6 linked regions of the Xenopus tropicalis genome follow. The protein of the gene in region 2 interacts with the protein of the main gene of each other region in a pairwise test. Links are inferred from orthologs where the notes say so. Each region holds a gene or a part of one and is shown on either strand. Other genes may lie near its edges. The genes, in order: dbp, ddit3, batf, tnfsf12, fosl2 and mcmbp.

Region 1 (3,500 bases), on a different chromosome or scaffold from region 2:
AGGAGATGCATCAACTATGCGGCGATCGATTGATCGAGCCTAGCCTGACTCCTTCCTATACAGAAGTCAGGCTAGGCTCGATCAATCGATCACCGCATAGTTCATGCATCTCCTGATACTTCCCCTGCATCGCCGTATCGCCTTTGTTCAAATGACAGGAAGCCGAGTTTTTAACAGGTATTTTCTACTAAAGCATTCAAAATAACAAATGGTTTTCAGGATAGGGCAATTACTGGGGGAGGGTAGAATAGATTTTTTAGTTAAAAGTTTTTAGTGTTACTTTTCTTTTAAGGCCTAGGCCTGGCCCCTCTAATTGAAGGTCTGCAGGTTGGATGGGCCAAAAGTAGCCCTCCAGGCAAATATTATGGCCCTAGCCTGCACAAGAGTTCCATAACCTTGTTTGGATGACATCACAGTGGCAAAAGGTTTGATGCTCTGGTTTCCACCCATGTTCCAAAAAATCATACAGAGAGGTTTACTGTGTAAATAAAATGTTGTCACATCATCATCATTTTAATATAATCTGGCTTGTAAATATTCTGTATAACGAATAAATTGACCTCTACATGGAAAAAGTTGGACAGCATAGCCTCAGCCATTAGTGTTGCCATCAGAATCCATCTTGGCTTCTTCTGACTAAACAGTACTAAACATTAAAGGGTCCATACAGATGTTCTCCACTGCTGGCATGTCTGCTTGTCTCATTGGGCACTGATTGCAACAGTTCAGGCACAAGCTGATCCACCACAGTGTGAATACACCAGGCATCACACAAGTAGATCATTGGGTTTAACAGAGCAGTCAGGTGACATGAAGCAGAGTACAGTATAAACAAACACCCAGTCACTTCCTATTGGCTGAATCCCCAACTTACTAGCAGAGTGCCAGCAAAAGAAACCAATGGAGAAAAAACAGTAAGAATTTAAAGCTTAAAATGCAAAAAAGTCTCCTGCTTGGCCTTCTTTAGTATTTTTGTTTATTTTATAGTGTGGGGCACCTACCTGGCCAGTTTTTTACAGGCCCTGTCAGTTATAATGGTGGCAATGGTATATATGGGGCGAAAGGTAACATAGGAGGGCTAGTCATTTATTCCACAAGAGATGGCAATGCTACTGTTATATGTGGCCTCGATTGCTCAGATGGATGGGACAGGAAAACTTATACAGTTTTCAGTACAAGCTCAATGATTATTATTATTAAAGGGGTGGTTAAACTTTAGGTTAACTTTTAGTATGTTATAGAATGGCCAGTTCTAAGCAACTTTTCAATTTGTCTTCATTACTTATTTTTTATAGTTTCTTTTATTATTATTATATTATGCGCCGTCTTCTTTTGACTTTTTCCAACTTTCAAATGGAGGGTCAGTGACCCCAGCAGCCAAAAATAAACTATTGCTCTGTGAGGCTACAATGTTATTGTTATTGTTACTTTTTATTACTTATTTTTCTAATCAGGTCCTCTCCTATAAATATACCAGCCTCTCATTCAAACCCCTCCTTAGTTGCTAAGATGATTTGAACCCTAGCAACCACATAACTAAACAAAAAGTGAAATAATTAAAAAAAAACACCAAAAATAAAGACCAATTGCATATTATCTCAGAATATCACTTGCTACATCATATTAAAAGTTAACTTAAAGAGTGAACAACCCCTTTAAGTGATAGCGCCACAACTGATGCTACATGCAGTCTTTGGTGAAAGCTGAAAGTTGTTGTGCTGCGACAGCTGGAGGACAAATGCTACTAATCCGTGTATTGGGCGGTTTAAGTTTAGAGGAAATTTCAGGCTATTAGTAAAATTTGTGGTTGGGCTGGCAAATCTCCAGATAAAGCATAAATTATGTCTTGCACACACAAAGGGACTGTTATTTCTTTCTTTTGTTTTTTGTTTTTTTGCAGCTTGCTGTTCCTCTTTGTAAGGATGGTGCCATAAATGATTATGTGCAAGGTTGGGAAATTTCAGCTGTCAGGGCATTCTGGGAATTGTAGTTCAGTAACATCTAAAGAGTAACAGGTTGCTCTCTCCATTTCATTTATATATTCTGGGATACTAAAGCACCAATAAACTGCACAGTGTGACCTTTGGCCAGGAGAAATCTATTTTAAGAAAATAATATTTTGATTTTTGACTGGGTCAGTTCTCATTAGCTTCAAATATGATGTCAGATCTGAAGCATAAGGGAAGTTTTTTTCTTTCAACTTCTTTCATTCTCTCCCAAAGGTATAATGAAAGAAAAGGAGAGGAAACTAGAAGATGACATGACTGGTCCTCGTCCCGCTCACTGTGCGTTCCTGGGGTCCCTACTGTGGGAACGCACATTGCCATATAATGAAATAGAGTATGTGGACCTGGATGAGTTCCTACGAGAGAATGGCCTTCCTCCAAGCCCACCTCACCAGCCCTTCTCACCAGCGAATCTGACGCCACCTCCATCTAACCAATCAGTGGTTGATCTCAGCCGACCGGCCTCCTGCGCCTCTTCTACCTCCGCCTGTTCTTCTCCTGTGCAAAGCATGATTGACAGTGAATATGAACATCCAAGCAGCCAAGCAGGTACAGACCGTTTTTTGCTATGTCTGCACTCTTTCACTTTAAAAACATGTAAGTGGCTATAAATACTTTCCATTGGTTCCAAAAGTAATGCCTGTGAGCATGGGGCTCTGAGTGGAAATCAAGTTACAGTTTTTTAGCCTGTTCCATGCGCAATGTGCAAAAATCACTGAAATTCTACCTGTTTTTTTTAACTTAACTGAGTATAGGCAGTGTACAGGTATGGAACCTGTTATCCAGAATGCTTTGGACCTGAGTCTTTCCGGAATTTGGATCTCCATATTTTAAGTCTGCTAAAAATAATTTAAGCTTTAAATAAATCCAATAATATTTACAATTTTTGAATTATTTGATTAAAATAAAATCTTTGGGAGATGACCTTCCCATAATTCAGAGATTTCTTAATAACAGGTTTCCAGATAACAGATTCCATACCTGTATATACATTACATATATAATACATTATAAAATTCAAAATACAAGGCTAATTAGTAATTCCTTCAGATTCATAATACAACACAGCATACAAACTACTGGGTTCTGCATCAGGATTGCAATAAAACATTATCTTCTATGTCAAATGTAGTGTCATTTTTTTACTAACATTTCAATGATTTTTTATGACCTGCTAAGGTTAGCTTTTTGGCACTAGCCTAGAGCAAGGCTGTCCAACTGGAGAACTGCGGGCCTGGACGTGTCCCTCCAAATAATTTTTATAGCCCCCAATCATGGCTGTACTTTACAGACATGACATCATGTGCAACCTGTGTGTGACTTTACATACTCCTTACATCGCGGAAGTCACATGCAAGATGTAATTTTTGCAGCCTGAAGCGGCCCCCTGCCCCTCCAGCTCTGATGCCAGAAATCTACGGTGGAAGCTGGGAGCATATTTTATCTAAAGATTAATAAATCAAATACATAGGGCCACCTCCCCAAAAGCTCCCG
Region 2 (4,075 bases):
CAGCAAATTTAAAGAGTGGTGGTACATTAAAGAGTTATACATCTATACCCAATGCCTAGCACTAGCCTCAGTAATTAAAACAGTCAATGCTTAAATAACTCGTTTTTCCATCAGGAAAACCACCATCCCACCTGTTACTGCTTCAATATTTTCACCTTAGTATTTTTGCTATTTTAAATTGATGCTGTTCAGCTAACATCCGCTGTCCATCTACATTGACACTATCAAGTGACTTCATTTGACCACATTAACTTCTATTACACCTAAGGATTCCATTGTTTTTCATGATTTTTTTCATACATATTTTGTACAGGTTTTTTAATATAGACTTTTCATGGATTTTTTTTTTTTAAATAAAGATGTATTCATTATGTACATGGCAAACTGGAATAAAATTATTTTTGAGTAATGAACTGTATAATTAGATACATTATAAGGTGGTATTAAGAAGCATATTTATTTCAGTGTGTAAGCCAACATGACAGGTAATGTTGCCCATGGCAACCAATAAGCAATTAGATTTTAATAATCACAAGTTAGAAACAAAAGCAAATATCTCATTGGTTGCTATCGCCTCAAGTCATGCTGGCTTATACACTATAATAAATATGCCCCTGTGTGTTTTAGTTGGTATACTAGCCAGCTACATTTCTAAAGTGAAATTGCTTTAAATAATTGGAACGATAAAAAACCCGGCACCTTATACAATTTTGGCGTTAGGATTAGTCGCTAGTTGTTTCTAGCAACGCAGGTTTTATATCTCTCTGTATTACTTCTTTAGGTTTAGTTCTCGCTATTTATGTTGCTTTCTTATGATAAAACCAGGTTGCGGACAAGGTCGTACAACCTGAAGGTGAAAAGCAAGCTTGGAAAGTCCCTCGGGTTGGGGGAAGGCTTGGCCCCAGCTTGCCAGCTCTTGCATCACCCACTATGACTCACTCTCGTCTCGTGATTTCCAACAAAACACTTCCGCAACACACCCTCTGACTGCACAACAGCATACCCAAGTGTCTCCGCCTTTAGGCTTCCGGTTGACGGGCCTCTGCGTTTCATACCTCGTTATGCTTTTTCAGCTAGCCTTCTAATTGGCTGTAGAAGGCACCTGGGGGCTGGCAATAGAAGTCCTCCCCGGAACGTCTGGCTAGAGGCGAATGAGGAAGCAATAGGATAAGGGTCGTGTACGCTAGATTGGGATCGACGATCTGATTGGCTAAGGCAGCGAGCTATATAACGCGGCTTCTTCGCACATATCCTCAGTCGTTTTGCTGAAGACGCAGACGATGTTTAACATGAGCCCACAGTCTCTTAACGTGCAACCACAAACCAGCTCACGCTGTCGCTTTATTTGTCAAAAGAGAACAGACCCTACGTGGAGAAAGGTATTGTTATTTCTTGTGTTCATATTGATTACAGCGAGTTTTGGACATAGGTATCGGCATCTCCTATGTGTGCCTTTAATCCGGCTCTAGTAAGGCAAGCGCACAGTGACGTTTTTTTGTGACCATTTTATTATTCCAACGCTGTGCAGAGCCTGAGTCTATAAGATGAGAGATGTAGTTCATCTTTAGTGTTGATACTGGTAAGACTGTTCGTTCTGGTATGGTCCATTAGGGGAGATGCTCTATAATTTCTTTAGAGTCTGTTTTGTTGGTTGGGGCGAAATGTATGTATGTATGTATGTATGTCTTTATTTATAAAGCGCTACTTATGTACGCAGCACTGTACAGTAGAATACATTAATACAAACAGGGGGTTAAAGATAATGGATAAATACAAAGTATAACAATAAATACAAATAAATACAAGGTACAGTTGCAATAAGAGTCAGAAACAAGATGAACGAGGTCCCTGCCCCGTAGAGCTTACAATCTATATGGGACCAAAAGGGCAAAGAGTGCTCAGTTCTAGAACCTACGGCATCCCAGGTATCTGAGGCTTATGAATGAGTGGAGGCAGGGCCAGTCAGTGCTGGTTAAGCCTGTCCCAGAGCCCACTCTCGCACTGCTGCCGGTTACAGAGCCCAGGATTACAATACAGCGGTGGCTCCCCCTCCCTTCCTCCCTGTTGTCTCTCAGCTGGAGCAGCCAGGCAGACACAGCAGCCCAGCAGCAGATCCCACTCTCCAGCTGTCCGGACCCCAATGTGACTCCCATCACACAGCAGCTGGCATAGATTAAGCACTAAAGCTGGCCACATGGTGGTCGCACAAAAGATCGTTCCAACCCTCCGCTGACATTCAGGGCTGAAACGGCAGATATGGAGGTACAAACAACAGGATTTCTACCTCCTTCTGTCGATTCAGCCCTGAAGGCAGATTTTGCTCAGACGCCTTCAATGGCTCCCGACTGGAGTGTCGACCGATATCCGCAACCTTCTGCGATATCTGTCGCCTTGCCGAGTTGCCATACACGCACCAAATATCGTATATTATCGGTGCGTGTATTGCCTGACTTCATAGCCATTTAACTTTATCCCACTCCTGGTGCTGCTGTAAGGCAACCAGGGGGGTTGAAATCAGCCAAGGCATTTATTAAACCCGATAAAGGAGAGTACAGGCACAGACCAGTAATAAAATGCTTGTCCTACAGGCATATTCATTTGCCCTTTTCCAAGGACTGTCTGTTAATGATTCCTTATCTCCTAAACACTGGAGCATACCATATACATCATTTGATAGAGCTTGTCACAGAATAGGACAATGGAACACTGCTGGCCAAAACAAACGGCAATTCAGTTATCCAAGCTGTCGTGATTTCTTATGTTTCCATTTTCTGCTGCTCAATTTCCTCAATTTTCCTCTCACGGGATGTAAGTTGGTGATCCATTACCTGCCCTATATTATTGTAGATGGTAGAATCTAAAACTATAGAAATTGCACATGCCAGATGAAATTTAGGCTTCCACCCCCCTGGCCAAACTGAACTAAAATATTTAAGAGCAAAATTAAAGTCATGGGCAGAGTCTTTAACAATTAACTAAATGCTCTTTCTGAAGAGTCCAAAGAGCTTGAATTGACTGCTTAAATCTGCCTGTGTATGGCCACCTTTACTCACAAAATGGATATTACAAGGCACCCATAGTTAAACAGGTGCTGAGAGTGACTGTAGAACCAACAACAAGATGATAAAATGAAACCAATCACTATCTTGTTTAATGTCCATTTGTTTAACTGAATATAAATACAGGCTGCTTTCCTTCAGGGCAATGTCACAAACATTTTGTTCCCCTTTGCTAAATCTGCGCTGCTCCAGCTGACAAAATATCCCAAATTTCCTTCCCAGCGGCAGTAATATGAATTAATGGTGGGAAAACCTAGTGAAGTTTTGTTGCTTGCAGTAGAGCAGATTACAGCGGCCAAAAAAATCCCTGTATAATTCCGCTTGGGTCCATTCCCACACTAAAGGTTCCCATACATGGGCCGATTGTAGCTGCTGATATTGGTCCCTTGGACCGATATGACAGCTTATCGGCTCCTGTAGGGGCAGAAGTGACGGCCATACCCGACCGATATCTGCCCCAAATTGGCCATATATCGATCGGGCCAGTTAAAAGATGCGGTCCCCGAACTGACTGCCCCATTGCCGCCATTATAATTAGATTGTTTGGCCCCAGAGCTAAACGATTGAATTGGCCTACATGTTCCCTGATATTGCCACCTGTAGGTGTGGATATTGGTTGAAGATCTGCTCACTTGGCGACCTCGCCAAGCGAGCGAATCTTCACGTGTATGGGCACCTTTTAGATCTGTGTTCGGTTAAGGGTGTTTAGAGGGGAATTACCTTTTTTTTTAACCGAGCTGGCAAAGTTTTATAGTTGTTTTATGGTGCATGTTGTGTGAAGGTTATTTGTATAAAAAAAAAAAAAAATAAAGACTAACCTGTAACAGTAACCAGTCTCGAGGCCTATTGTATTCAAGATCCTAATTTAGTAAGCACTACCTGCAGATTGGTTGCTATGGGTTACTAGATCTAGTTGCCATTTTGATTACATTGCCTCCTTATTGCTTAAGATCTCACTAAGACTTAAGCTGGCCAAACCAGTACTACATTTTGTATGATTTTCAGTCCATGTGTGG
Region 3 (3,993 bases), on a different chromosome or scaffold from region 2:
TGTATGGGGGGGTGTTCTGTGTATGGGGGTGCTCTGTGTATGGGGGGGTGTTCTGTGTATGGGGGTGCTCTGTGTATGGGGGGGTGTTCTGTGTTTAGGGGTGCTCTGTGTATTGGGGGGTGTTCTGTGTTTGGGGGTGCTCTGTGTATGGGGGGGTGTTCTGTGTATGGGGGTGCTCTGTGTATGGGGGGTGTTCTGTGTTTGGGGGTGCTCTGTGTATGGGGGGGTGTTCTGTGTATGGGGGGTGCTCTGTGTATGAAGGGCACTGTGTATGGGGGCACTGTGTATAAAGGGTACTGTGTATGGGGGGCACACTGTATGGGGGGCACTGTGTATAAAGGGTACTGTGTATGAAGGGTACTGTGTATGGGGGGCACACTGTATGGGGTGCACTGTGTATAAAGGGTACTGTGTATGGGGGGTGCTCTGTGTATGGGGGCACTGTGTATAAAGGGTACTGTGTATGGGGGGCACACTGTATGGGGGGGCACTGTGTGTAAAGGGTACTGTGTATGAAGGGTACTGTGTATGGGGGGCACACTGTATGGGGTGCACTATGTATAAAGGGTACTGTGTATGGGGGGCACTGTGTATAAAGGGTACTGTGTATGGGGGGCACGCTGTATGGGGGCACTGTGTATAAAGGGTACTGTGTATGGGGGGCACGCTGTATGGGGGGCACTGTGTATAAAGGGCACTGTGTATGGGGGAACTGTGTATGGGGGACACGCTGTATGGGGGGCACTGTGTATGGGGGGCACTGTGTATGGGGGGCACTGTGTATGGGGGGCACTGTGTATAAAGGGTACTGTGTATGGGGGGCTCTGTGTATAAAGGGCACTGTGTATGGGGGGCTCTGTGTATAAAGGGCACTGTGTATGGGGGGCTCTGTGTATGAGTCTCCCCTGTGTGGGGGGGCAAAACTGGTAGATAGTTAGAACTCACATATAACTCACTGCCTTCTCTCTATATTTGTATTTATATGTGGGAGTTGCTATATTGTTTTCCTTAGGTAGTACAGTATGAGGGTATAGCACATTTGCATCTGATCCCACCATTTCAACTATATAAAAGGAGTTTTTATAGAAAACAATGGGGTGTGTTAATTGGGGCGTGGCCACAAAAGTGGGCGTGGTCAAAAATTTGCCGCGCTGCACGCACCAATTCTTTTTGGCCCTCTTTTCGGTTTTCAAATGTTGGGAGGTATGAAATATAGCGTTATAGGTGGCACTAATGTGATTCTGATTGGCTGTTAGCCTGCAGAAGTTTCTGTTTGGAGTTAAACTGTGTCTCTGTGCTTCCAAAATTTGCCTCCAAGCCAAACTTGAGGCCACTGGGAGCAAGCCACTGGTTGGGGATAACGGCTCTAGGCAAATTACAAAATATACATGCATCTTGCATCATTTAGATACCTGTCTGATTGTGTATGGCCACCATAGGATCTTATGCTTCTATTGCAAAAACTGAGGCCAGAAAAGCAGCTAGCACTATTTTGAACATATTATGCTCCACTCGTTATTTTTTCCACATCAGTAATAACATCTTTGAGAAATACAGTGAAACACTACTCACCTCACTCCTCCCACACACTCCTCTCTGATGACATGTGGGGTTTTCCTGGGTATTTTTCACCTTGTCCCCAATGTGTTTTTGATTTTTTTAGCTGACATTTATAACATGTTTCTGTCATGTGACTTCCAACTCCGGTCCCCAGACACCAAAACCACGCGGAAAGGTGACAGGGAGAGGTGGCTGCGTCATGGGTGAGAACCTTGCGAGAGAAGAACCAGAGGAAGAAACGTAAAATAGACGTGAAGACTGCAAAGGAAGTACAAGTTCACACAAAAGGGGCAGCAACTGACAAAGGCTCCGATTCCCCTGAGAAACAGGAAAAGAAACCAAGTGCAGAGAAAAAGTTTGACGGACAAAGCAGCCTCAAGAGGCTAGGGGGGACATGCAACAAGAGCCTGATAGAAATGAGCAGGGCTACTGCAGCTCTCCCCCTTCTAGCAACAAACAGGTAAGCCAAATGCTCTTAATCTACTGTGGCCATAAGAACACCAGTTGGATATGGACTTTTATTGCCTCTGATGTCTCAGCCTTTCTCTCATGTCACAGTGCATATTCCATTTGATACCCCAGGATCTATACAGTGTAAAAGCCTGCTATTCTTATAGGTCTATATTGATTAAGGGGTGGTGTTTTAATTTTAAGCCAGAATGTTAAGGATTCTTAAAAATGAAGAAATATCACAGAATTCATTAGGTATTATCAGGTCTTGTAAGAGCTGATGCACACTGCCATTTACTATGTTAATATGGTTGTAAGAATTTTTACCACTGGACTGCAAAATTACAGGTGCATTGTACACATTGTGTTTAATTTTGTCTACTGAATGATGTAATAACACTAATTCCTGTTGGTATAACCACATTAAGTGATGCATGTAATCACCCAGATGAATGATATCTCACATTGTATTTTTCACTGTGATAACATTATTACCTTTAAAGGATAAGTAGGATAAAACAGTGGGGGTGCCAATATGTTGGGTAGCCCCCAGTGAGGCAAATCACTAACTTTGCCAGCAAGGATACTTTCTTGAAGAGCACTGCACTGTACTGCTATTTTGATGCCAATAATTCAATATCTCCTGGGTCCACTGAGCAGGTGCACATGCTGAATAGTTAACTCATCATAAGTTATTGTGGCTCCGACATCGCGGTACTTCAATAAAGTATCCTGTACCATTGTGTTTTTATGGAACAAGTATACCATCCCAGGCCACAAGATTTGCCCTACTTTGTTACCCAACATATTGGCAATCCCCAGTACTCGTCTGTAAATGATCTCTATGGCATGTCATACATATATTTTTTGCTCACATTAAACTGACCAAGTGCTTGTACATTAAAATCCCAGACCATGTTGGCAAATGGGGATTGTAGCACACATGTACTTACCCTTACTATGTACAGATCAGTACAGATTATCATTAAAAAATCCACACCAGATGCCTGATAAAAATTGTTACCCACTTTTGCAACTGCCTTTTTCCAGTGTGGGGTCGGTGATATAAAAGGATAAAGCCTGCTGTGGAGTTTTCTAGTTAATGCTAGTCTCTGATTATTTCTATGTGACATCAAGGATTTTAGCACATATCACATCCTATCATACATAATAGTCTTCATGCAGTCTAACACTCTCTAGTTGCCTTCTTTGTAAGGATTCTTCAGACGACACAAAGAAAATTCAGAGAAGAGAGAAAAATAGGATTGCAGCACAGAAAAGCCGCCAGCGGCAGACACAGAAAGCAGACTCTTTACACATTGTGAGTATGCAGGCAGAGTGACTCTTGTATGCTCATTACTGTACATGATTCTCTGCAGAATACTGTACATATACCATACTGTAGACCAAAATTCAGCACCCTGGAATTTACTTTTTTGAACTGCAGACCAGTGCAAATTTGTAGAAGTGATGCAGTGTGCTATGCTGCCTGATTTTCATTTATTTATTGATCAACAACTTTCTGTTTGCATCCTCTCTGTATGTAGCAAATCTCCCTTTTACCTCCCATTACAGGAAGACACCCCCTCCCCTCCAAACTCACAGCCCCCTCTCATCTCTCCTCCTCCCCCCCACTCCCCTTTCCTGTAAACGGAGGTTTGGTTTCTGCTGCTGTATTTTGTAAATTTAACATAACAAAGTGCAAAGGTATTTTACTATTTCTATCTTAATGTGAGCTATAGCCACTACATTTACTTGTATATCATATATATATATATATATTTATTTATTTTTTTCATTTATATAGCACTTCTTGTAAATGTAATACAATAAAACATTTAGGTAAAAGGTGACAAGACCAACCCTTAAATACGTTCATGACATATGAGATATAAATGCGATACAGTAATAAGTAAGCCAATGTGATATTTTATCCTTGAGACATAGAGAGAGTGTAGGGATACACAGTTACTTCCTCACACT
Region 4 (3,500 bases), on a different chromosome or scaffold from region 2:
CTGTTAGTGTGAGGGTATGTTGGCGTTAGAGCGCTGTTAGTGTGAGGGTATGTTGGTGTTAGAGCGCTGTTAGTGTGAGGGTATGTTGGCGTTAGAGCGCTGTTAGTGTGAGGGTATGTTGGTGTTAGAGCGCTGTTAGTGTGAGGGTATGTCGGCGTTAGAGCGCTGTTAGTGTGAGGGTATGTTGGTGTTAGAACGCTGTTAGTGTGAGGGTATGTCGGCGTTAGAGCGCTGTTAGTGTGAGGGTATGTTGGTGTTAGAGCGCTGTTAGTGTGAGGGTATGTCGGCGTTAGAGCGCTGTTAGTGTGAGGGTATGTTGGTGTTAGAGCGCTGTTAGTGTGAGGGTATGTTGGTGTTAGAGCGCTGTTAGTGTGAGGGTATGTCGGCGTTAGAGCGCTGTTAGTGTGAGGGTATGTCGGCGTTAGAGCGCTGTTAGTGTGAGGGTATGTCGGCGTTAGGGCGCTGTTAGTGTGAGGGTATGTCGGCGTTAGAGCGCTGTTAGTGTGAGGGTATGTCGGCGTTAGGGCGCTGTTAGTGTGAGGGTATGTCGGCGTTAGAGCGCTGTTAGTGTGAGGGTATGTTGGTGTTAGAGCGCTGTTAGTGTGAGGGTATGTCGGTGTTAGAGCGCTGTTAGTGTGAGGGTATGTTGGTGTTAGAGCGCTGTTAGTGTGAGGGTATGTCGGTGTTAGAGCGCTGTTAGTGTGAGGGTATGTTGGTGTTAGAGCGCTGTTAGTGTGAGGGTATGTTGGCGTTAGAGCGCTGTTAGTGTGAGGGTATGTTGGTGTTAGAGCGCTGTTAGTGTGAGGGTATATTGGTCTTTGAGAACTATTAGTTGCAAATAGCAAACCAAGGCAGTTAGAGCTCCCCTAGAGGCTGCCACAGGTAATGCAGAACTTTCATTCCCCACTATCAGCTACACACAGGCATGTATGTATATTATATGTATGTAACGCAGGGAACTCTGTGTTTTCTCTTTAAAGGATTTGCCCCCCCAGCAGCAGCAGCTGGACTCCGACACTCAGGTGAGACCCCCATATATATAAATGGGACAGTGTGTCTGTACGGAGACCCCTACACCTCCCTGTGCTACTGTGCCGGGCACAGCATTGTGTGTATATATATACTGTATATCAGAAGCATTGTGTGTATATATATATACTGTATATCAGAAGCATTGTGTATATATATATATACTGTATATCAGAAGCATTGTGTGTGTATATATATATACTGTATATCAGAAGCATTGTGTATATATATATATATACTGTATATCAGAAGCATTGTGTGTATATATATATATACTGTATATCAGAAGCATTGTGTATATATATATATATACTGTATATCAGAAGCATTGTGTGTATATATATATATACTGTATATCAGAAGCATTGTGTATATATATATATATACTGTATATCAGAAGCATTGTGTATATATATATATATACTGTATATCAGAAGCATTGTGTGTATATATATATATACTGTATATCAGAAGCATTGTGTATATATATATATATACTGTATATCAGAAGCATTGTGTGTATATATATATATACTGTATATCAGAAGCATTGTGTATATATATATATATACTGTATATCAGAAGCATTGTGTATATATATATATATACTGTATATCAGAAGCATTGTGTATATATATATATACTGTATATCAGAAGCATTGTGTGTGTATATATATATATACTGTATATCAGAAGCATTGTGTGTGTATATATATATACTGTATATCAGAAGCATTGTGTGTATATATATATATACTGTATATCAGAAGCATTGTGTGTATATATATATATACTGTATATCAGAAGCATTGTGTATATATATATATACTGTATATCAGAAGCATTGTGTGTATATATATATATACTGTATATCAGAAGCATTGTGTGTATATATATATATACTGTATATCAGAAGCATTGTGTATATATATATATACTGTATATCAGAAGCATTGTGTGTATATATATATACTGTATATCAGAAGCATTGTGTGTATATATATATATACTGTATATCAGAAGCATTGTGTGTATATATATATATACTGTATATCAGAAGCATTGTGTATATATATATATACTGTATATCAGAAGCATTGTGTGTATATATATACTGTATATCAGAAGCATTGTGTATATATATATATATATACTGTATATCAGAAGCATTGTGTATATATATATATATATACTGTATATCAGAAGCATTGTGTGTGTATATATATATATATACTGTATATCAGAAGCATTGTGTGTATATATATATACTGTATATCAGAAGCATTGTGTGTATATATATATATACTGTATATCAGAAGCATTGTGTGTATATATATACTGTATATCAGAAGCATTGTGTGTATATATATATACTGTATATCAGAAGCATTGTGTATATATATATACTGTATATCAGAAGCATTGTGTATATATATATACTGTATATCAGAAGCATTGTGTGTATATATATATACTGTATATCAGAAGCATTGTGTGTATATATATATATACTGTATATCAGAAGCATTGTGTGTATATATATATATACTGTATATCAGAAGCATTGTGTGTGTATATATATATACTGTATATCAGAAGCTGTATATAGACCCCTACACCTCCCTGTGCTACTGTGCCGGGCACAGCATTGTGTATATATATATACTGTATATCAGAAGCATTGTGTGTGTATATATATATACTGTATATCAGAAGCATTGTGTATATATATATACTGTATATCAGAAGCATTGTGTGTGTATATATATATATACTGTATATCAGAAGCATTGTGTATATATATATATATACTGTATATCAGAAGCTGTATATAGACCCCTACACCTCCCTGTGCTACTGTGCCGGGCACAGCATTGTGTATATATATATACTGTATATCAGAAGCATTGTGTGTGTATATATATATACTGTATATCAGAAGCATTGTGTATATATATATACTGTATATCAGAAGCATTGTGTGTGTATATATATATATACTGTATATCAGAAGCATTGTGTATATATATATATATACTGTATATCAGAAGCTGTATATAGACCCCTACACCTCCCTGTGCTACTGTGCCGGGCACAGCATTGTGTATATATATATACTGTATATCAGAAGCATTGTGTGTATATATATATACTGTATATCAGAAGCATTGTGTGTGTATATATATATACTGTATATCAGAAGCATTGTGTGTATATATATATATATACTGTATATCAGAAGCATTGTGTGTATATATATATACTGTATATCAGAAGGAAAGCTCATTAGAGGAATGGCTCACTGTATAAACCTTATTGCCCCCAACAGATCTATTACCAGAATGTATGGGAGAAGCAGCAATATCTGTACCAGAAGCTGAGGGAGAAGAGCCGGCCCAAGCGCGCAGGTAGCCAATGGGCGGATGTGTTAGTGCCGGGGGTAGCGAGGCCTCGCCCTGTACGTGGGGCAC
Region 5 (4,058 bases), on a different chromosome or scaffold from region 2:
AGGGGGCAGTTCAGTGGGCAGTACAGAGGGCAGGGGGCAGCGGGGAGTACAGTGGGCAGAGGGCAGTACAGTGGGCAGAGGGCAGTACAGGGGGCAGTACAGAGGGAAGCGGGCAGTACAGAGGGCAGCGGGCAGTACAGGGGGCAGTACAGAGGGAAGCGGGCAGTACAGAGGGCAGCGGGCAGTACAGGGGGCAGTACAGAGGGCAGCGGGCAGCACAGCGGGCAGAGGGCAGTGGGCAGTACAGCGGGCAGAGGGCAGTACAGGGGGCAGCGGGCAGTACAGTGGGCAGTACAGGGGGCAGTACAGTGGGCAGTACAGGGGGCAGTACAGTGGGCAGTACAGGGGGCAGTACAGGGGGCAGTACAGGGGGCAGTACAGTGGGCAGTACAGTGGGCAGTACAGGGGGCAGTACAGTGGGCAGTACAGGGGGCAGTACAGCGGGCAGTACAGCGGGCAGTACAGGGGGCAGTACAGCGGGCAGTACAGCGGGCAGTACAGTGGGCAGTACAGTGGGCAGTACAGCGGGCAGTACAGGGGGCAGTACAGTTGGCAGTACAGGGGGCAGTACAGGGGGCAGTACAGGGGGCAGTACAGGGGGCAGTACAGTGGGCAGTACAGGGGGCAGTACAGTGGGCAGTACAGTGGGCAGTACAGTGGGCAGTACAGTGGGCAGTACAGGGGGCAGTACAGTGGGCAGTACAGCGGGCAGTACAGTGGGCAGTACAGGGGGCAGTAACACAAGATAAAGCAGACACAGGCATGTAATACAGAGGACAAAGGCAGGAATGTTCTGGGAGTGGGGAGGGAATACACAGGGAGAGGCAGAGATTACAGAAGGGGGGGGGCAAATGGGAAGGGAGAGTGACCCTCACCTGCAGGATGGAGGTAGATAAGGTGCTGCTGGGGTAACCCTCAGGCTGGGCTGGGGAGCTGCTGCTGCCACGGGAGGAGCTGTCGAAATTCCCTGGATAATCCTGGTACATGATCTGAGCTCTGAACTCACAGGGTGGGAGGCTGCCGGGGTCCAATCTTCAAAAAACACATACGGAAAGGCAATCAGACACTGGCACCCAATGTGTGCCCATATACCCACTGTACCCTGTGCCCATATACCCTCTGTACCCTGTGCCCATATACCCTCTGTACCCTGTGCCCATATACCCTCTGTACTGTGTGCCCATATACCCTCTATACTGTGTGCCCATATACCCTCTGTACCCTGTGCCCATATACCCTCTGTACCCTGTGCCCATATACCCTCTGTACTGTGTGCCCATATACCCTCTGTACTGTGTGCCCATATACCCTCTATACTGTGTGCCCATATACCCTCTGTACCCTGTGCCCATATACCCTCTGTACTGTGTGCCCATATACCCTCTGTACCCTGTGCCCATATACCCTCTGTACTGTGTGCCCATATACCCTCTGTACTGTGTGCCCATATACCCTCTGTACCCTGTGCCCATATACCCTCTGTACTGTGTGCCCATATACCCTCTGTACCCTGTGCCCATATACCCTGTGTACTCTGTGCCCATATACCCTCTATACTGTGTGCCCATATACCCTCTATACTGTGTGCCCACATACCCTCTGTACCCTGTGCCCATATACCCTCTGTACCCTGTGCCCATATACCCGCTGTACCCTGTGCCCATATACCCTCTGTACCCTGTGCCCATATACCCTCTATACTGTGTGCCCATATACCCTCTATACCGTGTGCCCATATACCCTCTGTACCCTGTGCCCATATACCCTCTATACTGTGTGCCCATATACCCTCTGTACCCTGTGCCCATATACCCTCTATACTGTGTGCCCATATACCCTCTATACCGTGTGCCCATATACCCTCTATACTGTGTGCCCATATACCCTCTATACTGTGTGCCCATATACCCACTATACTGTGTGCCCATATACCCTCTATACTGTGTGCCCATATACCCTCTGTACTGTGTGCCCATATACCCTCTATACTGTGTGCCATATACCCTCTATACTGTGTGCCCATATACCCAATGTACTGTGTGCCCATATACCCACTATACTGTGTGTCATATACCCTCTATACCCTCTCATATACCCACAATTTACCCATATACCCAGTGCAATGTGTGCGACTGTGCCCCCATACCCACTGTGCCTCCATACTCACTGTGCCCCCATACCCACTGTGCCTCCATACTCACTGTGCCCCCATACTCACTGTGCCCCCATACCCACTGTGCCCCCATACTCACTGTGCCCCCATACCCACTGTGCCTCCATACTCACTGTGCCCCCATACCCACTGTGCCCCCATACCCACTGTGCCTCCATACTCACTGTGCCCCCATACCCACTGTGCCTCCATACTCACTGTGCCCCCATACTCACTGTGCCCCCATACTCACTGTGCCCCCATACCCACTGTGCCCCCATACCCACTGTGCCCCCATACCCACTGTGCCCCCATACCCACTGTGCCATGTCTCCATATCCTACATTGGGACACTTCTCCATATAATTGCTTTCTGTCGGATCACCCCCCCACGCCGTATACCCGCTGATCCATAAGACATATACCCGCTGATACCCTGGCAAGAGATGCCCCCACCTTGTTAATCCAACTCAGCGGGCGCCCAGTGGGGCGAATAGATATAAAGTGCCAGGCCCGGCCCTGTAATCCAATGGGTGCTGTCAGTGCGATCTCTCTCCCATAGGGTGCTGGGTGCGCTGCCGGCTGTGCTGCCGATCCAAGTGTCCTGCCCCAGGTACTCTTAGTTATCCCGATTGTACAGCGCTAGGTACTCTTAGTTATCCCGATTGTACAGCGCTAGGTACTCTTAGTTATCCCGATTGTACAGCGCTAGGTACTCTTAGTTATTCCGATTGTACAGCGCTAGGTACTCTTAGTTATCCCGATTGTACAGCGCTAGGTACTCTTAGTTATCCCGATTGTACAGCGCTAGGTACTCTTAGTTATTCCGATTGTACAGCGCTAGGTACTCTTAGTTATTCCGATTGTACAGCGCTAGGTACTCTTAGTTATCCCGATTGTACAGCGCTAGGTACTCTTAGTTATTCCGATTGTACAGCGCTAGGTACTCTTAGTTATTCCGATTGTACAGCGCTAGGTACTCTTAGTTATTCCGATTGTACAGCGCTAGGTACTCTTAGTTATTCCGATTGTACAGCGCTAGGTACTCTTAGTTATTCCGATTGTACAGCGCTAGGTACACTTAGTTATTCCGATTGTACAGCGCTAGGTACACTTAGTTATTCCGATTGTACAGCGCTAGGTACTCTTAGTTATTCCGATTGTACAGCGCTAGGTACTCTTAGTTATTCCGATTGTACAGCGCTAGGTACTCTTAGTTATTCCGATTGTACAGCGCTAGGTACACTGCAGGCTGTGCTGCTATTCCATGTGTCCTGCACTAGTTGCACTCCCAGCTGTACGGCACAGGGCACACTGCCGGCTCCTCTGATCCCCCCGGCTGGGCTGGAAGTCGCACTTCTGACTGGGCAGATCTGTCAGTACGGCACAGGGCACACTGTACAGCGCCGATGACACTGCCGCTGGAGCTGCGCTGGGTGAGTCAGACCGGAGTCACTCTGATCACTGACTGAGCTACCAGCGCTCCCAATGCGACTCAGGCTCCTCCCCCGGGGCGTGGCCGCCCTTGTTTCCTGCGGAGAGTGGGGCAGTACCAGGCCGGGGGGGGTGTTACCCTGCGCTCTCACCTCTTTCTTCCACTTGCCCCGACCTGCCCGCTCAGCTCTGCCCCCCCCGCACTATTGGACTATCCCAGCTGTTGGCTCCCCTGCCAAGCGCTTGGTTCGCTCCATTGACGCAAGTAGCAGCCATATATGGGCAGTGACGCAAGCGGGTTCCCTTGGTTGGAGTGACGTGTGCGGGAGGGATTCCCTGGCTGGCTCGGAGCACCTGCTGGGCTTGGGAAGGTGGGGGCTCCGTACTACGGGCCATTGTAGCGCTTAGTATTGAGGCTTCAAATGGGCCTTTGGCAATACATGGTGGGTAGGGGAATACAGTGAGTAATATC
Region 6 (4,042 bases), on a different chromosome or scaffold from region 2:
GACAGGTTGGGGGGCACTGGGCAGTAGGACAGGGTTGGGGGCAACTGGGCAGTAGACAGGGTTGGGGGGCACTGGGCAGTAGGGACAGGTTGGGGGCACGGCAGTAGGACAGGGTTGGGGGCACTGGCAGCAGGTTGGGGGGCACTGGGCCAGTAGGACAGGGTTGGGGGGCACTGGGCAGTAGGACAGGGTTGGGGGGCACTGGGCAGTAGGACAGGGTTGGGGGGCACTGGGCAGTAGGACAGGGTTTGGGGGCACTGGGCAGTAGGACAGGGTAGGGGGCACTGGGCAGTAGGACAGGGTTGGGGGGCACTGGGCAGTAGGACAGGGTTGGGGGGCACTGGGCAGTAGGACAGGGGTTGGGGGGCACTGGGCAGTAGGACAGGGTTGGGGGGCACTGGGCCAGTAGGACAGGGTTGGGGGCACTGGGCAGTAGGACAGGGTTGGGGGGCACTGGGCAGTAGGACAGGGTTGGGGGGCACTGGGCAGTAGGACAGGGTTGGGGGCACTGGGCAGTAGGACAGGGTTGGGGGCACTGGGCAGTAGGACAGGGTTTGGGGGGCACTGGGCAGTAGGACAGGGTTGGGGGGCACTGGGCAGTAGGACAGGGTTGGGGGGCACTGGGCAGTAGGACAGGGTGGGGGGCACCGGGCAGTAGGACAGGGTTGGGGGGCACTGGGCAGTAGGACAGGGTTGGGGGGGCACTGGGCAGTAGGACAGGGTTGGGGGGCACTGGGCAGTAGGACAGGGTTGGGGGGCACTGGGCAGTAGGAGTGAGGGGCCCCTTTACTCACCGCTCGGAAGCATTGCGGGGCCGTGCTGGCTCACAGGGATGAAGGGAAGGGAGAAGCTGATCTCGGAGGCGGAGAAGAGCAGGTTGTTGCCAGGCGGCCCGGACTGAGCCCCGTTAGGTACCTTCCCCGCCATGTCCGTCCCACAAGTTCCACGTAACCCACCCGGGACAGCAGGAACCGGACCCGTCACCAAGTGAGTACGTCCAATCAATACCTACGGGCGTTCCGCGTTATCCAATGAGAACTCGCCAAACACAAACCTCCCCAACCAGTGGCTGAAGAGCAAAGTTCATATGCATGACGTAGCACCTCAGCTCCACCAATTAAACCGTGCGTTTAGATAAAAGGGCGGTTCCAGAGGTTCCTATCCCTTTCGCTAACTATAATGTGGCTGCCCGGCTGAGGACTTCCGCCAGTCGCTACGTGCACTCCAGCCAAAACATGGCCGCGCTCATGGAGATTTCCGCCAACCAGTGCGTTTCGGGAGCGCTTGACGCGACCCATTGCGTAGTGACGTCTTTTTCCCGCCATCACTGAGTTAGTTCAACGAGTCTTTGGTGTCTGCGCGATGACTGGAGGAGAAAGCTGGATCAGCGACCCGCTCGGTGTGGTACAGGGCTTGTTTGGTGAGTGGGGCAGCGTCCGGCCCCCGGGCCAGCAGGAGTGGGGCGGGTAGAGCCGGGCATGAGTGGGGCGGGTAGAGCCGGGCATGAGTGGGGCAGGCGGGTAGAGCCGGGCATGAGTGGGGCGGGTAGAACCGGGCATGAGTGGGGCGGGTAGAGCCGGGCATGAGTGGGGCGGGTAGAACCGGGCATGAGTGGGGCGGGTAGAGCCGGGCATGAGTGGGGCGGGCGGGTAGAGCCGGGCATGAGTGGGGCGGGCGGGTAGAGCCGGGCATGAGTGGGGCAGGCGGGTAGAGCCGGGCATGAGTGGGGCTGGTAGAGCCGGGCATGAGTGGGGCGGGTAGAGCCGGGCATGAGTGGGGCGGGTAGAGCCGGGCATGAGTCGGGCGGGTAGAGCCGGGCATGAGTGGGGCGGGTAGAGCCGGGCAATGGGTGGGGCGGGTAGAGCCGGGCATGAGTGGGGGCGGGTAGAGCCGGGCATGAGTGGGGCGGGTAGAGCCGGGCATGAGTGGGGCGGGTAGAGCCGGGCATGAGTGGGGCGGGTAGAGCCGGGCATGAGTGGGGGCGGGTAGAGAGCCGGGCATGAGTGGGGCGGGCGGGTAGAGCCGGGCATGAGTGGGGCGGGTAGAGCCGGGCATGAGTGGGGGGGGTAGAGCCGGGCATGAGTGGGGCGGGCGGGTAGAGCCGGGCATGAGTGGGGTGGGTAGAGCCGGGCATGAGTGGGCGGGGTAGAGCCGGGCATGAGTGGGGCGGGCGGGTAGAGCCGGGCATGAGTGGGGCGGGCGGGTAGAGCCGGGCATGAGTGGGGCGGGCGGGTAGAGCCGGGCATGAGTGGGGCGGGCGGGTAGAGCCGGGCATGAGTGGGGCGGGCGGGTAGAGCCGGGCATGAGTGGGGCGGGTAGAGCCGGGCATGAGTGGGGCTGGTAGAGCCGGGCATGAGTGGGGCCGGGTAGAGCCGGGCATGAGTGGGGCGGGTAGAGCCGGGCATGAGTGGGGCGGGTAGAGCCGGGCATGAGTGGGGCGGTGAGCCGGGTCGGGTAGAGCCGGGCATGAGTGGGGCGGGTAGAGCCGGGCATGAGTGGGGCGGGTAGAGCGGGCATGAGTGGGGCGGGTAGAGCCGGGCATGAGTGGGGCGGGCAGAGCCGGGCATGAGTGGGGCGGGTGAGGGGCGGGTAGAGCCGGGCATGAGTGGGGCGGGCGGGTAGAGCCGGGCATGAGTGGGGGCGGCGGGTAGAGCCGGGCATGAGTGGGGCGGGCGGGTAGAGCCGGGCATGAGTGGGGCAGGCGGGTAGAGCCGGGCATGAGTGGGGCGGGTAGAGCCGGGCATGAGTGGGGCGGGGTAGAGCCGGGCATGAGTGGGGCGGGTAGAGCCGGGCATGAGTGGGGCGGTAGAGCCGGGCATGAGTGGGGCGGGCGGGTAGAGCCGGGCATGAGTGGGGCGGGTAGAGCCGGGCATGAGTGGGGCGGGTAGAGCCGGGCATGAGTGGGGCGGGCGGGTAGAGCCGGGCATGATGGGGGCGGGCGGGTAGAGCCGGGCATGAGTGGGGCGGGTGGGCGGGTAGCAGGCCGGGCATGATGGGGCGGGGTAGAGCCGGGCATGAGTGGGGCGGGTAGAGCCGGGCATGGGGGGCCGGGGTAGAGCCGGGCATGAGTGGGGCGGGTAGAGCCGGGCCATGAGTGGGGCGGGGTAGAGCCGGGCATGAGTGGGGCGGGCGGGTAGAAGCCGCGGCATGAGTGGGCCGCGGGTAGAGCCGGGCATGAGTGGGGCTGGCGGGTAGAGCCGGGCATGAGTGGGGCTGGCGGGTAGAGCCGGGCATGAGTGGGGCGGGCGGGTAGAGCCGGGCATGAGTGGGGCTGGCGGGTAGAGCCGGGCCATGAGTGGGGCGGGTAGAGCCGGGCATGAGTTGGGGGGAGGGCGGGCGGGTAGAGCCGGGCGTGAGTGGGGCGGGCAGGTAGAGCCGGGCATGAGTGGGGCGGGCATGAGTGGGGCGGGTAGAGCCGGGCATGAGTGGGGCGGGCGGAGCCGGGCATGAGGGGGGGTAGAGCCGGGCATGAGTGGGGCGGGCGGGTAGAGCCGGGCATGAGTGGGGCGGGCGGGTAGAGCCGGGCATGAGTGGGGCAGGCGGGCGGGTAGAGAAAACCCATTTAGGGGCATATTTATTATAGTGTGTAGGCAACATTATAAGTTCTAAAATGTAAATATCTGGTTGGTTGCTATGGCAACATGACTAGTGATGTTTGCTTACACCCTAATATAAAGATGCCCTTTAGTGTGATGGCACCTGTGGCACCATGCCATCTCTGCTGAGTATGGAGCGGCCTCTAGTAGCCCAACGATCCCTGATTGTTGAACTGTGGCACCCAGCACCCACATTCCCTGCTCGCTGTATGCATGGGGGTGGCACAGGTATGTAGTGTTGGGTGGCACCCTCTCACTTAGGTGGGCACTGGGTTTAGCGCTGCACAGGATGTGCCCCAATAGCAGCTGGGGGGCCCCAGGCTACTGTACCCTGAATCAGGACATGGGTGTGAGTGCATTACACAGTTACGTAGTAGCTCAGGTAGAAAAAAGACCAACTTTACTGAATATCATGTTTATCCCTTTCAGCTATTAGCGTTTTGCTT

What was found.
Region 1: the proteins of ddit3 (region 2) and dbp interact in binary tests that used the Homo sapiens proteins (3 or more experiments, as listed by UniProt). The link is inferred for Xenopus tropicalis from reciprocal best matches to the Homo sapiens genes DDIT3 and DBP.
Region 3: the proteins of ddit3 (region 2) and batf interact in binary tests that used the Homo sapiens proteins (3 or more experiments, as listed by UniProt). The link is inferred for Xenopus tropicalis from reciprocal best matches to the Homo sapiens genes DDIT3 and BATF.
Region 4: the proteins of ddit3 (region 2) and tnfsf12 interact in binary tests that used the Homo sapiens proteins (3 or more experiments, as listed by UniProt). The two-hybrid records come from large-scale screens. The link is inferred for Xenopus tropicalis from reciprocal best matches to the Homo sapiens genes DDIT3 and TNFSF12.
Region 5: the proteins of ddit3 (region 2) and fosl2 interact in binary tests that used the Homo sapiens proteins (3 or more experiments, as listed by UniProt). The two-hybrid records come from large-scale screens. The link is inferred for Xenopus tropicalis from reciprocal best matches to the Homo sapiens genes DDIT3 and FOSL2.
Region 6: the proteins of ddit3 (region 2) and mcmbp interact in binary tests that used the Homo sapiens proteins (3 or more experiments, as listed by UniProt). The two-hybrid records come from large-scale screens. The link is inferred for Xenopus tropicalis from reciprocal best matches to the Homo sapiens genes DDIT3 and MCMBP.

The regions. Positions count from the first base shown.
Region 1 is NC_030683.2:105,053,694-105,057,193, reverse strand, and holds part of dbp (D site-binding protein), read left to right. Parts: intron 1-2,222; coding exon 2,223-2,555; intron 2,556-3,500. UniProt on the Homo sapiens protein: This transcriptional activator recognizes and binds to the sequence 5'-RTTAYGTAAY-3' found in the promoter of genes such as albumin, CYP2A4 and CYP2A5. It is not essential for circadian rhythm generation, but modulates important clock output genes.
Region 2 is NC_030678.2:140,584,251-140,588,325, reverse strand, and holds the start of ddit3 (DNA damage-inducible transcript 3 protein), read left to right. Parts: upstream 1-1,275; 5' UTR 1,276-1,379; intron 1,380-4,075. UniProt on the Homo sapiens protein: Multifunctional transcription factor in endoplasmic reticulum (ER) stress response. Plays an essential role in the response to a wide variety of cell stresses and induces cell cycle arrest and apoptosis in response to ER stress.
Region 3 is NC_030684.2:82,351,310-82,355,302, forward strand, and holds the start of batf (basic leucine zipper transcriptional factor ATF-like), read left to right. Parts: upstream 1-1,193; 5' UTR 1,194-1,954; coding exon 1,955-2,020; intron 2,021-3,226; coding exon 3,227-3,331; intron 3,332-3,993. UniProt on the Homo sapiens protein: AP-1 family transcription factor that controls the differentiation of lineage-specific cells in the immune system: specifically mediates the differentiation of T-helper 17 cells (Th17), follicular T-helper cells (TfH), CD8(+) dendritic cells and class-switch recombination (CSR) in B-cells.
Region 4 is NC_030679.2:147,513,829-147,517,328, forward strand, and holds part of tnfsf12 (tumor necrosis factor ligand superfamily member 12), read left to right. Parts: intron 1-980; coding exon 981-1,022; intron 1,023-3,358; coding exon 3,359-3,437; intron 3,438-3,500. UniProt on the Homo sapiens protein: Binds to FN14 and possibly also to TNRFSF12/APO3. Weak inducer of apoptosis in some cell types. Mediates NF-kappa-B activation. Promotes angiogenesis and the proliferation of endothelial cells. Also involved in induction of inflammatory cytokines.
Region 5 is NC_030681.2:5,731,226-5,735,283, reverse strand, and holds the start of fosl2 (fos-related antigen 2), read right to left. Parts: upstream 2,801-4,058; 5' UTR 2,609-2,800; intron 1,033-2,608; 5' UTR 987-1,032; coding exon 876-986; intron 1-875.
Region 6 is NC_030683.2:6,240,572-6,244,613, forward strand, and holds the start of mcmbp (mini-chromosome maintenance complex-binding protein), read left to right. Parts: upstream 1-1,242; 5' UTR 1,243-1,362; coding exon 1,363-1,420; intron 1,421-4,042. Other genes in the region: sec23ip (SEC23-interacting protein), read right to left, coding at 795-927. UniProt on the Homo sapiens protein: Associated component of the MCM complex that acts as a regulator of DNA replication.